Linked DNA regions of Pelodiscus sinensis. The protein of the gene in region 2 purifies or fractionates together with the protein of the main gene of each other region. This does not show direct contact. Links are inferred from orthologs where the notes say so. Each region holds a gene or a part of one and is shown on either strand. Other genes may lie near its edges.

Region 1 (7,022 bases), on a different chromosome or scaffold from region 2:
TTCTGTTGGAAGAAAAACACCTAGGCATTTTCTACACTTTTAACATCACTGTTAATGTTGCCTGTTTAACCTAAGCATTTCCCCCTTTGTGTGAATATATATGATACAGTCAGTTATGGCATGAGCACATACTATTTCTCATATCAGGAGCAATATTATCATACTATCTGTATCTGCACTCGTCTATACACATCTAGCATGCGTGCAACATGTACTACTCTCTGTTTGAGAAAGAGTCTAGGGGTGTCACATGAAATGTCCTTTGTGAGCTGTACATATAGTATGCTATATGCTACTAAAGAACACTGCTCTGCACATATGCCCAGCTAAATCTGCCTCCTAGCTAACTCCTACAGTGCCTGAATTGCACCTAAGAAAGGACATTTGCTGGTTAAAATGGGAAAGTTGGTGTTGACAAAATTATCAGAGGATGTACTGCACCTTCCAGAGCAGAGAGATTGTTATATGGAAACTCCAGGTTAAGAAAGAGATATTGGACTATTCTGGCAAAGGAATTAGTGTCAGGAGAAGAGGCTGATAAAAGCAATACATAACAGTATCTACAGCAAAACAGGTGTGACTCTATTATTTAAAAAATAGTAGGTAACCATGCAATTAAATACCATGAAAAAATGCCAATGCCTAATGGCTATTGGCCCTTAAATATGGCATCAATTGAATTTAGAGATCTGGAATGTGCAATGTTAACATTCTTTTAATGTTTGTTTTATTTATGATGTTTTTTTCCAGAGAGCTCTTAGGTGCCCAAGTCTGGTGTTTAGGAACCTAAGCACCTTTGTAGTTCTGAACCTAAGTCTCAGATTCAAGTGCCTAAGAGTAGGTCTACACTGCAAAGGAAAACCCACAGCACTGAGTCTCAAGGCATGTCTTCACTATAGGCTGGACGGACACACAGAGATCGATCCAACTGGGGTCAATGTACCCTGTCTAGAACAGATGTGATAAATCAGTCACCAAGTGCTCTCCCATTGACCCCAGTACTCCACCAAAACAAGGAGAGTAAATGGAGTTGATGGCAGCATCAGCTGTGGACTTACCATGGTGAAGATACTGCTGTAAGCAGTCCTAAGTACATCAATTTCACTGATGCTATTCATGTAGCCGAATTGTGTAACTTAGGTTAATGGCCTGCGGCAGTTCAGACAAGGCCTCAGAGTCTCAGTCAATTGGCTTGGGCTCACAGAGTTCAGAATTCACAGCTAAAAATGACAAGGTAGGTGTTCCCGCTCAGGCTAGAGCCAGCTCTGAAACCTGATGAAGGGGTAGGGTCCAGCCTAAGTGGGAACCTACACACTGCTAAGTAGCCCTGCTCAATCCCTACAAGCTTTTATTTATCCACAGTGAAACAGCTTCCCCAGAGAGGCTAAGGGAGCCCCACATTGGAGCATCCCATGGCTTAGTGGTAGAGCACTCCTGTTCACCTCCTCTCTCTGTCGCTGCACCTGAGGGGGGAACTGAAAGTGGGCCTCGCACATGCAATCTCAGTGCTCTAACCCCTGGGTTAAAAGCTATAAGGTGGGTGCTCCCACCAACTGCTCTGCTGCCAACCATTTTGCAAGGTGCAAGTCAAGCTTCTAACTCATTCCAGCAACCCTGGGGGCACCAGGTTTTGTGAGGCATAAAGACACCCCTCCCAGCCTATGCAGGCTTTGTTAGCGATAGCCTCAGGCCCGCTTCTGAGCATCACCATGGCTTTCCCAGCCCCTGTTTTACTGGACACTAACACTCACAGATTAGGTGCTCCCAAAGATACAGCAGACACCAGTTTATCCATTTCCCTTCAGATCGTTGCTCTGTTGAACACACGTGTTTAACACACATCACCTGGACATGAAGATAGTGAAAACAAGTATCTACACAAAGTATGTAGATTGGAGAAGTAGCAAACGAGAATATTGGAAATAAACAGTTACATGTAAAATAAAATCATCGCACGCCTACAGGTGCCTAGACTTAATTAACCAGATACTATCTTGTCTAGTCGTTGCAGCATTTTCCAGCCACGTTGGTTGTTCCTCAGTTCATAAGACAGACCACACTACCAGCTCATCTCTTCAGTGAAGGGTACCCTGTGTCCTCTTACATACTTCTGATATATCAGGCTAATCCTTTAATCTTAGTCATAAATAGGACACCCTCCTGCTGTGTGTCCCTTTCCGTAGATTTTGTGATTTCTTGTCAGTTTAGGAATCTCAGTTAGCTGGTGGCTCAATATGCAAATAGACTTATGTTATGAGGCACACATTACACAGATAATAGAGATATGTGTCAACTTTCCCCTGCCCGAACAGAGTCATGTTTATTGCTCTCTGGGGATCTGCATTAACTCACACCCCGTAACATGATTTTCAGTACAGTTACATAACTCTTTAAATATCTTCTGTGTAAATATCTCACATTGATTGTGATGACCAGTGTCATGCTGTCTATTGGTAAAATTGCATCGCCTGTGTCCTCTGTCCTTTGGCATCAAAAATGCCTTGGGTCACAACACCTTATGTTCCTAAGCCTTATGTCTCCTGTTCATGATCCTGCAGCCAGGCCTTGTACTTATCTCTGAGGCTATGTCTACATTTGCATCTGACTGATAACACTTTCATTGTTCATGGAAGCTTAACCCTCCAACTCCGTGAATGACAAAGTTTGCCACGGCAAATGCACATGTGAACACTGCTTTGTTGGCAGGAGCGATAGATAGATAGATAGATAGATAGATAGATAGATAGATAGATAGATAGATAGATAGATAGATAGATAGATAGATAGATAGATAGATAGATAGATAGATAGATAGATAGATTTGGGGTCTTTTTATGTGTCTTTGCTTTCTGAGCCTTGAGGACACTCCCAGGTCAGGTCAGCCTTTTCTCTGCAAACACTTTTTATATGAAAGCTGATGGTGAACAGGGCTAAAGGCATCATTAGACACATGAGCAGAGGTGTGAGCAGGGAAGGGAGGTGACAGCCTCTGTGAGACTGTGATTGGACACTGCAGCCTGTCCTAGGGACCGCATTTTAAAAACTTGTTGAAAAATTGCAGATAGGGCAGCAAAGAGCCAAATGTATTGAGGGCTGGAGAAAAATGCCTCCTTGTGAGCTACTGAAAGGCACTCGATGTGCTTAGCTTCTACAAAAGAGGTTGAGAGGTGACTTCATAGAAGTATTTAAGTGCCTTGGAGAGATGTCGGGCAGTAAAGGGCTGTGCAGAGAAAGGCAGAATGAGACCAGTGGCTGGAAAGTGAAGCCAGACACATTCATATTAGAAATAAGGCACAAATATTTCACAGTGAGGATGCTTCACTGTTGGAACAAACTACCAAAGCAAGTGATGGATTCTCCATTTCTAGATGTTTTCTAATGAAGACTAGATGTGCTTGGATCAAAACTTAGCCACTGTGATATACAGGAGGGGTGGAGTAAGCAGGGGTCAGATTTGATGTTCTAATGGTCCCATCTGGCCCTAACTGAAAGTAGGAATAAGAGATCCTCCAGAATAGGGCTTTATTCCGGAGGATCGGGCCAGTCTAGACGCTTTTTTCTGGCTTTTCCCCAAGCCGGAAAAAAAGCGGCGGACATGTTTATTTAAATCCCGTGGGGGATATTTAAATCCCCCGCGGATTTCCCTATTCCCACTTTCAAAATTAGCATGCCCCTTCCAAAGAAGGGGCCAGTGTAGACGTAGCCACAAAGTGTCTGGCCAGGATCAGGACACCAGCTTGGGACAGGTGGGTGTGACGGTGACATCACAAAAGCCTGCTGCAGGACCTCAGCCTATTGGGGGAAAGTGGTAGGGAAGTGGTGACCTCACAGAGAGACCCTGACATCAGCCAGGCAGGACAGAGCACAAGGCAGGGGCAACATCAGAGACTTCCATGGCTCTGCAGCAGCAAGACTCCTTCTCAAGGTCTCTCTCTGGGGACCAAGAGAGAATTAAACTAATCTACATGAGCATGAGGAGGAACTTCATTGGAGTTTTCTCCATCCCTACTATTGATTTGTAGCCCCTGTTTAGAAGGTAAGAGCCTCAGAGTATTGGGACCTGTCTGATCCACCTGGTACCAGTTGAATTCTAAGCGTAGAAATCACTCAGTTAAGATGAGTTCATTTTCTACCAAAGACTCTGTCCTAGAAAGATGGGAAGGGGGCGGGGGAAGGACGTTGTTGTCACTGTAGCTTGGATGACAGCTGTCACCCTTACAAAGAGGTGGGGCAGGAATTGCTCTGAGACTGATCCTCTCCAGAGGTGACCTGGGCCACTCTTCAAATCCTCTGCTGAGACTCCTCTGGGCCCCTTAAATCTCTGCTGGAGTCCTGGGTGGCAAGCTCCAGGAGGTACTGAAGGGCTGGCAGAGGAAGGCTAGTCCCTAGCCCCTCCCCTTCCACCTAAGACTCCGCCCCTTCCAGGAACATGGAGCCGCTTCTCCCACACACACACCTTGCCTAAGGGCCTGGCAAGTCTTGCTCTCAGAGGCTATGTCTACACTACAAGGTTTTTGCCAAAAAACGTGTGTTTTTGCACAAAAACCAACAGAGAGTCCACACCTCAAGCACATTTTTGCACACAAAAAATACAGTAAATCGACAGGACAGAGGGCTTTTGCTGGTAGAGTTATTCCTCTCCCCATGAGAAATAGCTCCTTTTTTGCACTACAGCTCTTGTGCAAAAAGACAAGTGTGGACACTCTGCAGGGGTTTCTTGCACAAAAAGAGCCTATCAGAAAAAGCACAAGCGCTCTGATGGCCATTCAGTTAATGGTCATCAGAGCTTTCTTGCGCAAGAATATCCATGCAGTGTGGACACTCCCCTATGCAAAAGCACATCACTTTTGCGATGCACTTTTGAAGTGTGGACACGCTTTTGTGCAAGAAGTTTTTGCGGAAGATCCCTTCTGCAAAAAGCTTCTTGCACAAAAATCCTGCAGCCAGAAATATAAACAGCTGGGTGCTACAGCAACAAAAAGCCCATACCCAAATTTCCCCAAGGGTGAAGAATGGAGAAGAAGCTGCATGTGACACATGCTGAATCCCCCAAGCTGCCCCTGTCCACATGGTAAAAGAGATCTTTCCAACCACCTGTGATATTTTCTACCCTCCCTTTGAAATCAATGTGGCTGAGGCTAGCTCAGCTGCTCCTATGGCAGCTTGGTTTTAACAGATAATGTTAACACATCCATTGCACTGATGTCATATGGCAAGCTATATGGGCATTAAAAGATTCTCTAGCTGTGAAGTTGGTCTGTTAGTTCCCTGTCAGGAAGGAGAGGAAACATTTCCTTTTTTAATGCTGTCAGACTATCTTTAAAGACCATTTCTTGGCTGCAGAAGGGAGCGGGGAAGAGAGAGAAGTCCCTCTTTTATGTGCTATACATTGGGGAGGCCGGCTCTATGCGTAGGATGATCAAAGAAACCCTGTTCTGATGGAATAACCTAGGGGACTTAGGACCCTGAGGACAGAGAGATTGTGGCAGCAAGATTGCCTGCAAGCAATTAGCTTCTGCCAGAGTTGTGGGATTTTCTTCTCCCTTTGAAATCAGTGTGTCTGGGGTTGGCTCCACCGCATTTATAGTAACTAAGTTTAAAAAGAGAATAACAACAACAAGCCTAGTGCATTGACATCATCTGCCAGACTACATATGAAATAAAGCACATTCATTCTCTAGCTGTGAAATTATTTAGGTCCTTCTATACCAGGAAGGAGAAAAAGCATTTTTTTAAATGGTGTCAGAGTACCAGAGTGGCTGGGGCAGGAGCCGCTGCTGCCACAAGACACAGTGATTAAAACAAGATGATTTTTATCCAGAGCCAGCTCTGAAACAAATTGTTTAAAAGAGAAGTTTATTTAGAACTCAGGAGTACTTGGAGTTCTTTCCCATTTATTCCACACGTAGAGCCCAAGCCTGGAGCTTTTGGAATTCCAGAAGTGTTTCAAAGTGCCTAACCACTGTGTTGAACTATCCCACCCATAGGCCCCACACTTCTGGGGACTCTCTGGTGGCTTCCCCAATTCCCCTATGGATGGGAGGGGACCTGGAGGATTACAGGGGCCTGACATAGCAGCAGCAGGGGGTCGCCCCAGAGCAAAGTAGGCTGCAGGGCTGCTCCAGCTCCTGCTGCCCACATGGCCATGTTGCTCAGAAGAGGGGGCAATGGGGTAGAGCGGGGGTGAAATAGCAGCTAAAAGGGGCCTGCAGTGGGGAGTGCCCCGGGCTTCACCTGAGGCCCTGGCGGGGGAGGAGGGGTTGCCCCAGTCCCGTGTCCCCCTCAAGACAACCCTGTTGACCACAGACCAGATTATTCAATGAGAGGATTTAAGATGCCTACTGCCCAGACTATCCCTCCTTTCCTTTCCACCTGATCCAAACCTAGCACAACTGATACAGAGAAGGAGGGAGGCTTTGTTTAGATCTGCATAGTCAACACCAGAAGAAAACATGCCTCTTTCCTGCATGTATTTGCCTCTGCATATTCCCACTGTATGGAATTACAAAGCAGGAGCAATTCCCCAGGCACAGGATGGAGGAGTACATTTTTTTAACAAAGAGATGGAAGGATTCTCTTCAGTGATCATTGAGAAGTGAGCCCCGAGTCTGTCCCCACTGTTTAGAGACTAGATAAAGATATGAATTGAGCTCCAGGGGGAGGCCGGACAAATCTGTTACCATGTAGTCACAGTGTCCAGGAAAGTTATCAAGGCAGCTGCAGTTCAAGGGGAATGAGCTCTAAAATCCTGCCCTAGTGATTCTCTCGACTGCTTATCATAGGCTTAATTTCAGCCAATGGATCTACTACAACTGACACTTGTTGAGGAACTGGCCCTCTGCTGTGTCTTGTTCCTTAGTTATTCTCCTGGGCTGTGTCTACATTGGCACCCTTTTCCGGAAAAGGGATGCGAATGAGACACTTCAGAATTGCAAATGTCCCAGGGATTTCAATTTTCCCTGCGGCATTTGCATGAACATGGCTGCCGCTTTTTTCCGGCTTGGGGCTTTGCCGGAGAAAAG
Region 2 (7,376 bases):
AATTAACATGAGAAAGTTCAGGTGCTTAATCGGTTTCATAATGTAATATTTCCTTTCTTACTGGTTCCATTAAATCATTCTTCCTAGCTGCAGCACTAGCAAAATGGCTTGGGCGTAATTATGTAATTAACAGTGACTGGGGGCCTGTGGAAAGGTTTGCATTGAGCCAGGTGGGCCATGGGCCAAAAAGTTTGAAAACCACTGGCCTAGAATAATCTGAGGTGTTAACTGTCGTCTTCCCCATCATCACCAATGGCCTTTTTCTGGCACCTCCCACAGACTCCATCCCCTTCTCCTACCATGCTTAGCTGGGATGCCACTTGAATTCTGTTACCCTGACATTGTTATGTTGGATGCATATTCAGTAGGGGATGTTTCCTTTTCCCCTCATTTTTATTTCCTCACCTTGCTAATGGGGACGTGTCTTTTTCCAGCAGGTCAGTATGTCGTTGATCTCAACTTATCACGTGTCAATTCATTACCATGGGCCTTTTGTGGTTCTCGATCACATTTACAATTTCTGTCCTACCCAGTTATTCAGTCTGGTCTCAACTGGTTATGTTGGGTTTTCTAAGTAACGATGTTCCTGCGAAACGCGAGGGCATTCTTGGGTGCGCCTGTGGCATGCAAAGTCCCTCGCTTGCACCGCCATGGAGCCGGGCAAAAGGTCCCAAGCAGATGTGAGCTAACTGCTTTCTGGGTGAAGGGTCCCACACAAAACTAACAACTTTGCCTTGCTCAACATACAGGACGTGGCCTGTAGGTCTCTTGTGTTACAGCCAAACTACCAGAATAAACAATTGTTTGGGGAAAAAATACAACAGCAGCAGGGGGGTTAGCTAGAGCAGGCATTGCCCTTTAAGCATCTTTTTTTCCTTTTGTCCTTGCGGCCTAGAAAGAGTTGCACTGAACAGTGTCTTGCTTAGTCTTCACACTTGCTCTGCAAAAATACTTGCAGGGTCAAAGCCGTGCCCCCCCCCCCCCAACTGCTAATTAAAACAGTATGTAATGCTAATTTAATTAAAAACCAGTAAATGACAAAAAGGGGCAGATATAATTGTATTCATCACCTGCTTATTAATATTAATTGTATGGAAGTTAATTTAGCTAAATAAGGGTTAATGTAAAGTAGTAATAAATGGGCAAATTAACATACTAAAATAAATAAAGTCTAACTGGTGCCAAATCATTGCCACTCACAACATTGTGTTGGGGGTCCAAGGTAAATGTGCGTCAACAGTAAAGTAGTCCATTAACCCTATCTGCTCCTCTGCCGCCTGTTTCTTCTCAAACATCTGGCATTATGAACAGGATCCCAGGGGAGAGTTGTGCCAGATCATCCTGTCTCCATGGGTAAGTCTGATGGGCTCTTTACTGCAACCACTGTTAGGGATTTTATTAACAGATTGGTAGGGAAATGGGAGGAGATCCTTATATGGATCCCTCCAGGCATCTTCAGGATTGGTCTGCCATTGAGGGGTGGGTGGAGGCCTCCCTGGCATCCAGGGATAGAAAAAGGTTGTGCTGGTGCAAGCTCTGTGTGAGGCTCTGTCGTGTTTCTGAAAAAAAGTTACTAACCTGAAAACGAAAATAACTCCACAGCAAATTGCTAAAAAGCAGCAAACCGTTAACCAAAGTGTGTTGGCAGCCACAATGGCTGAAAACGCATGTTATTTTTAATTCTCTTAAGTTAATAAAACCTGGCTCTAAAGAGTCAAACAAATGCCTTAAAGCAAGCTTCTCACCCCCATCCTGTCACCCACCTCCAGAGAAACAGAGGCTAGGGACACCATTCCTACTCTTCCTGGCTAATAACCATTGATGCACCTAACCTCCATTAATCTATTCAGCTCTTTTTTGAACCCTGTTAAAGTCCTAGCCTTCACCACATCCTCTGGCAAGGAGTTCCACAGATTAAACTGTGTGCTGAGTGAAGAAAAACTTCCTTTTGTTTGTTTTAAACCTACTGCCCATTAATTTCATTTGGTGATCCCTAGTTCTTATATTGTGGGAATAAGTAAATAACTTTTCCTTATTTACTTTTTCAAAACCAGTCATTATTTTATAGACCTCTATCATATCCCCCTTCACCCTTGTAAGTCTCCTCTTGTCTAAGCTGAAAAGTCCGAGTCTTTTTAATCTCTCTTCACATGGGACCCGTTCCAAACCCCTAATAATTTTTGTTGCCCTTTTCTGAACCTTTTCCGATGCCAGTATATCTTTTTGGAGATGAGATGACCATATCTGTAACTAGTATTCAAAATGTGGGTATAGCATGGTTTTATATAGAGGAATTAAGATATTTTCTGTCTTATTCTCTATTCCTTTTTTAATGACTCCTAGCATTCTCTTTGTTTTTTTGACTGGGGCAACAACAGTTTAAAAACAGCTTTGTCATGCAGAGTAAATAACAAGACAGCAAACATGGAACTGCTATGTACTTCAGTCACCTTCCTGATTAAAATGGTTCACCTTGTCTTAAAAGACAGTCTTTTGCAGCTACCCAATTTGCAGCCAAGGGTTTTAATTCAAACACTTATTGTTTTATGAAATGTGGCTTATGAATATAAATATTAATAAGTCAAAGGTGCTTTAGACAAAATACCTCATGAAACCTATAATGTAACAGTTTGCTGGATCTGTATATCTTATTTTGGTCCGTGTATCATTCTTGTATGTGAAGTTAGAAATATGAAGTGTGAGTCTGTTTATAGTTTAAAATGTATTAATGAGAGCCATTACTGGTGTTCTGGAAGCCTAATGACTTGGTGATCAGCTCAGTGACTTGTGAGCAGCCTTATTTGTCCTAAAAGCCCAAGTGGTGGTTGGTGCTAGAAAAACAGGTGACCATACCACCTGGTACTGAAATCTTTTTTAATTCTGTTCTCCGTGGCACACCTCCGACTGCCTTGGAACACAGTTTAAGAAACACTGACTTAAATCCCACTGTGTGTACTTAGTAAGAACACTTTTGTTTACTATCAGACCCAGTGTAAATAATTGTTACCTGGAGGGAAGCAACCACTCTGCTTCTTTCTGGCTATGTCTACACTGCAGAGCTTTTCCGGGATACTGGCGATATCCCGGAAAAGCTATACCGCATCCAAGGAACGTGTCTTTTTTCTGGACAGTTTCCCAAAAAGCAGACGTGTTCTTTTGGCATCTCGGTAGTCCTCATTGTATGAGGAAGAAGGGATGTTCTGAAAGAGGAGGTTTTTCCGAAATTTGGCCCCATGCAGTTGGCCAAATTTCAGAGAAGCCTCTTCTGAAAGAAAGAAAAAAAAAAAAGCGGAAAAAGATACGCAAATTGTGCTTTGCAATTTGCGTATCTTTTTCTGACTTTTCTTTGCGGTCTGGACATAGGGTCGTAGAGGGGTAACTTTCAAACCACGCAGTCCTGTGGCACCTTAGACTATGTCTACACTACAAGGTTTTTGTGCAAAAACAGCCGTTTTGGTCAAAAACCGGTGGAGTGTCCACACCTCAAGCACATCTTTGCGCAAGAAACTCAACAGAGCCGAGGGCTTTGGCCAGCAGCGCCTCCTCTGGGCGAGGATAACTCCTCTTTGCACTACAGCTCTGGGGCACAAAGGCAGGCGTGGCAGCGGGGGGCTCCCGGAAACGCGCAGGTGCGCTGTCCTGGCCGTGCGGGGGGACGCTCGCTGGCGGCCGGCGCGTGTTTGCCGCGGAGCCCGGCAGTGCAGACAGAGCCCAGCGCCTCACGGCCGGGCCGGGCGGCTTGAGGGAGCGGGCTGCTCCAGATCTGGGTCCGGTTACCCCAACTCTGCGCCTGGGCTGGGGGGTTGCTGGGCCCTGTCGCAGGCGCTCAGCCACAACCAACGGCCGCCGCAGACCGTTGCAGTCCGTGTTTTCCCGCCCGGGCGCGCGCAGCGACCGTTACCAGCCGGCCCGCAGCGTGGGGGCGGGGCCAGCTTCCGCAGAGGCGCGCGGCGCCCCCCCCCCCCCCCCGGCGTCCAATCAGCCTGTCGCCGACCTTCTGCACATGGCGGCATAGTCCAGTCCCGCACGTACTCAGGACCTTCCTCCTGCTCCTGCCACCCGCGGCGCGCTCCCCCTCAGCGACCGTCCCCCAATGGCGGGTGCACCCGCCGCGCCAGTCGGCCCGTTCCACGCCCTCCCCTCGATGGCGGCTCTCCGCGCGCGCCCCTTCGAAAAGCCGCAGAGAAATGGCGGCCGCCCCTCGTGACCTTCCAATGGCCGCGCGGCCTGCGCGGGACGATGACGTCTCCGGACCGTCGCCCTTTTTCGCGGGCTACTTGTCGTCACGTCTGGTAGGTGAGGTCAGCGCAGGGGCCGCCATTTTGGGTGGCGGGGCCCGGAGCCGAGCGGGGGGCTTGGGCGGCGGCGGCCCGCAGCGGGAGCGGCCCCCATGGCCGGGCAGTTCGACGCCGAGGACCGGGCGAGCTGGTACTGGGGGCGGCTGAGCCGGGCCGAGGCGGTGTCGCTGCTGCAGGGGCAGCGCCACGGGACCTTCCTGGTGCGGGACTCGGGCACCATCCCCGGGGACTTCGTGCTGTCGGTGTCCGAGAGCTCGCGGGTCTCGCACTACATCGTCAACAGCCTGGCGCCGGCGGGCGGCCGCAGGGCGGGCGGCGAGGGCCCCGGGGCCCCGGGTGAGTGCGCCGCGCCGGGGGGGGGGTTGTCCGACCCGGGCCTCGCTCGCTGGGCGCGGCCCAGCCCCCTGCTCGGGCTCCGCGCGGCGCGGGGCTTTCCCGCCCCCTGCGGCAGCGCTCGCGGCGGGGCAGCCACTCGCCCCAGATCGCCCGTCGCTCGGGGATCGCCCCGCCCGCCGGAGGCAGCTGACGCTCTAGCGCTGCCTGGTCGTGGAGCGATCGCACGAGGCGTTTGAAAACATTTGGCATAGTAGAGACTTGGGGGTGTGGGGGAAAGACCGTTAAATTCCTCGTTTTAATGAGAGATTCTTGAAGGGGGGGGGGAGATTTCCTTTGTTTAATTTCAAACCTCCAAATGACCGAGTCTGAAAAGGAAATATTTGAATTGCGTAATTTAAGTATTTAAACCGGTAACCTCTCTGAGATGTTACAAGTGGATGCTAAGCAAAATTACCCTGATTTTCTCCTTTCATTTGTGGAGAATAAGCAGATGTGTTATGCCTTCTAGAATGGCTTGAAATCTGATACATGAAAATACAAGTGTCAAACTGTGTTTTTAATCCAGTCACACAATATCATACATATAGGATCAAAGAAAAGTGGTTATACTTACCGGCTGGAGGACTGTATCCAAAAGCAGTGCTTCTGAATTTAGGAGTCATGCTGGACACAAGTTCCCAATGCAGCGCTGTTGCTAAAAGGAGTAATGTGATCCTTGGATGTATAAATGGAAATATTGAGCTGTAAGATACTACTTTTGAGTGGAGGATCACTGTAACCATTATTAGAATGTGTTCCATTCTATTGGCCACACTCCAAAAAGAATATGGAAAAATTTCGAGACAGTCCAAAAATTAGTCTCTTTGCTATTCTGGAAAACCTGAAATTCAGCAAGAGTAAATTAGTTCAATGTATTTAACTTTAAGAGGCGGTTACAAGGTGAATTGAACCTGGTATTTAAGTACCTTTGGAACCAGGATACTTATTCTGGAATAAAGTCTCATGTTTGCCTGTACAGACACATCAGAAGACCCAATAAGCAGTAGGGACTGGAAGTTGAAGCTAGTCAAATTCAACTGGAAATAAGTGTAAACTTTTGTGTGGAGAAGCAGCTAACTTTGGGAACAATTTAACAAAGAATGTGATGGATTCTCTATCACTTGACTGAATGCAGTCAAAATAGGACATTTAACAAGACATCTTCTTCCAAATTCAAATACAGGTTTTTGGGTTTGAGAAATTAATACGTGAAATGTTATGGCTGGTGTCATGCTGGACGGAATAAATTATCATAATGGTCCATTCCGGTGTCAAACCTTTTGAGTCTGAATTTTCTGCACCACTGCCTTTAAAATGGCACCAGAATGGGCATGGCAGATATGCCAGCCTTTCTGCTGGGGTATTAGCTTTTGTTTTGTAGTGTGCAAGATGCTTGGATTATAGGAACATAGTAATTCTCACACTGGATAAAACACATGGTCCATCTGATCCAACGTTTGTTCTGTGATGGAGGCCGGAACCACACAATTCAGAGGAAGGTGCAAGAAAGCTTGCAATAGGGAGTTGCAAGATAATCTGCTCCCTATTAAAACTCTCACTGACTCCCTAATACTTAGAAAATAGTTTGATCCCTGAAGCCTGGCATTTTTATCAGAGATGTGAATGGTTAACCAGTAAGCTTCACCCGTACCGGGTCATGCTTACCAGTTATGGTTAACTGGGAGCAGGGCCAGACTGGAGCAGCCCCCCCACCTGCTGTGGGCAGAGGGCTGCTCTAGTCTTTCTGGGCCAATGGTGTGTCGGCGAGGCCAGAACAGCCCATTGCGGGCAGGGGACGCTTGCAGCAGCCCAGCCTATGGTGCGTGCTGCAGACAGGGGGAGGGGAGGCAATCTAGCCCAGCTGGAGCAGCCTCCATTTAAGCAGTTCACTGGTTAAACATAACCTTCAGTGGTTAAATGATTAAATGGGATTTTTGCATCCCTAACTTTTAATACTTCAGTATTTACTATTAGCAATTTAATGTCCACTCTTTTTTAGTATTTTTCTTAGTCTATGCCATTCAGTAGCAGAGTTCCATCTTATAACCTGCGGGCAGGGAACCTGGCTGGGCTGCCATGGACAGGGGCTGCCTCAGTGGGCTACTTGCTAAAAGTGAGGCTTACTGGTTAACCTTTTACATCCCTACTGCAAACAAACAGCCTTCTTTTCCTGAGGCAGGGTCACTAGAATATGGAGATGTTTTTGGAGTGGGACAGATATCACTACTGAAAAATTGGGGTCCCAAAAGGACTTTGCTTTCCTTCTCAAAAAAGAGCCTAACACACACATCGTGAGCTTTTGTGGGTAAAGCCCACTTCAACAGATGACTGCTCATCAATGTAGATAAGTGAATGAAGTAATGGGATGGAGGGGAAAGAGTACAGTACAAATGTAATATAATCCGGCACCTTTAGGACTCAGAGGGTGCTGGATTATCAGATATGCCGAACTATTGGAAGGGGGGGCTATGAGGGGTCTGGGGTGGGGGGATACCACCTCAGACCCCTCATAGCCCCCCCTTCCGATAGTCTGGCTCTGCCCCAGGCATCCCTGGTTCAGCTGCTGCTGGTCAGTTTCAGCAGCAGCTGAATCAGGGAAACCTGCAGCAGAGCAGCTGGAGTGCTGCCGGGTTGGTCTGGTAGTGCCGACCCTTGGCGCGGCGAGACCAACCCGGCAGCACCCCAGCTGCTCTTGGGGACGCC

What was found.
Region 1: the proteins of CRK (region 2) and ASAP1 purify together in Homo sapiens (affinity purification with mass spectrometry; 3 studies listed by BioGRID and IntAct, with this or other methods). This does not show direct contact. The link is inferred for Pelodiscus sinensis from reciprocal best matches to the Homo sapiens genes CRK and ASAP1.

What each region holds. Positions count from the first base shown.
Region 1 is NC_134712.1:15,525,930-15,532,951, forward strand, and holds the start of ASAP1 (arf-GAP with SH3 domain, ANK repeat and PH domain-containing protein 1), read left to right. Parts: upstream 1-3,929; 5' UTR 3,930-4,036; intron 4,037-7,022. UniProt on the Homo sapiens protein: Possesses phosphatidylinositol 4,5-bisphosphate-dependent GTPase-activating protein activity for ARF1 (ADP ribosylation factor 1) and ARF5 and a lesser activity towards ARF6.
Region 2 is NC_134731.1:1,453,105-1,460,480, reverse strand, and holds the start of CRK (adapter molecule crk), read left to right. Parts: upstream 1-4,305; 5' UTR 4,306-4,390; coding exon 4,391-4,634; intron 4,635-7,376. UniProt on the Homo sapiens protein: Involved in cell branching and adhesion mediated by BCAR1-CRK-RAPGEF1 signaling and activation of RAP1.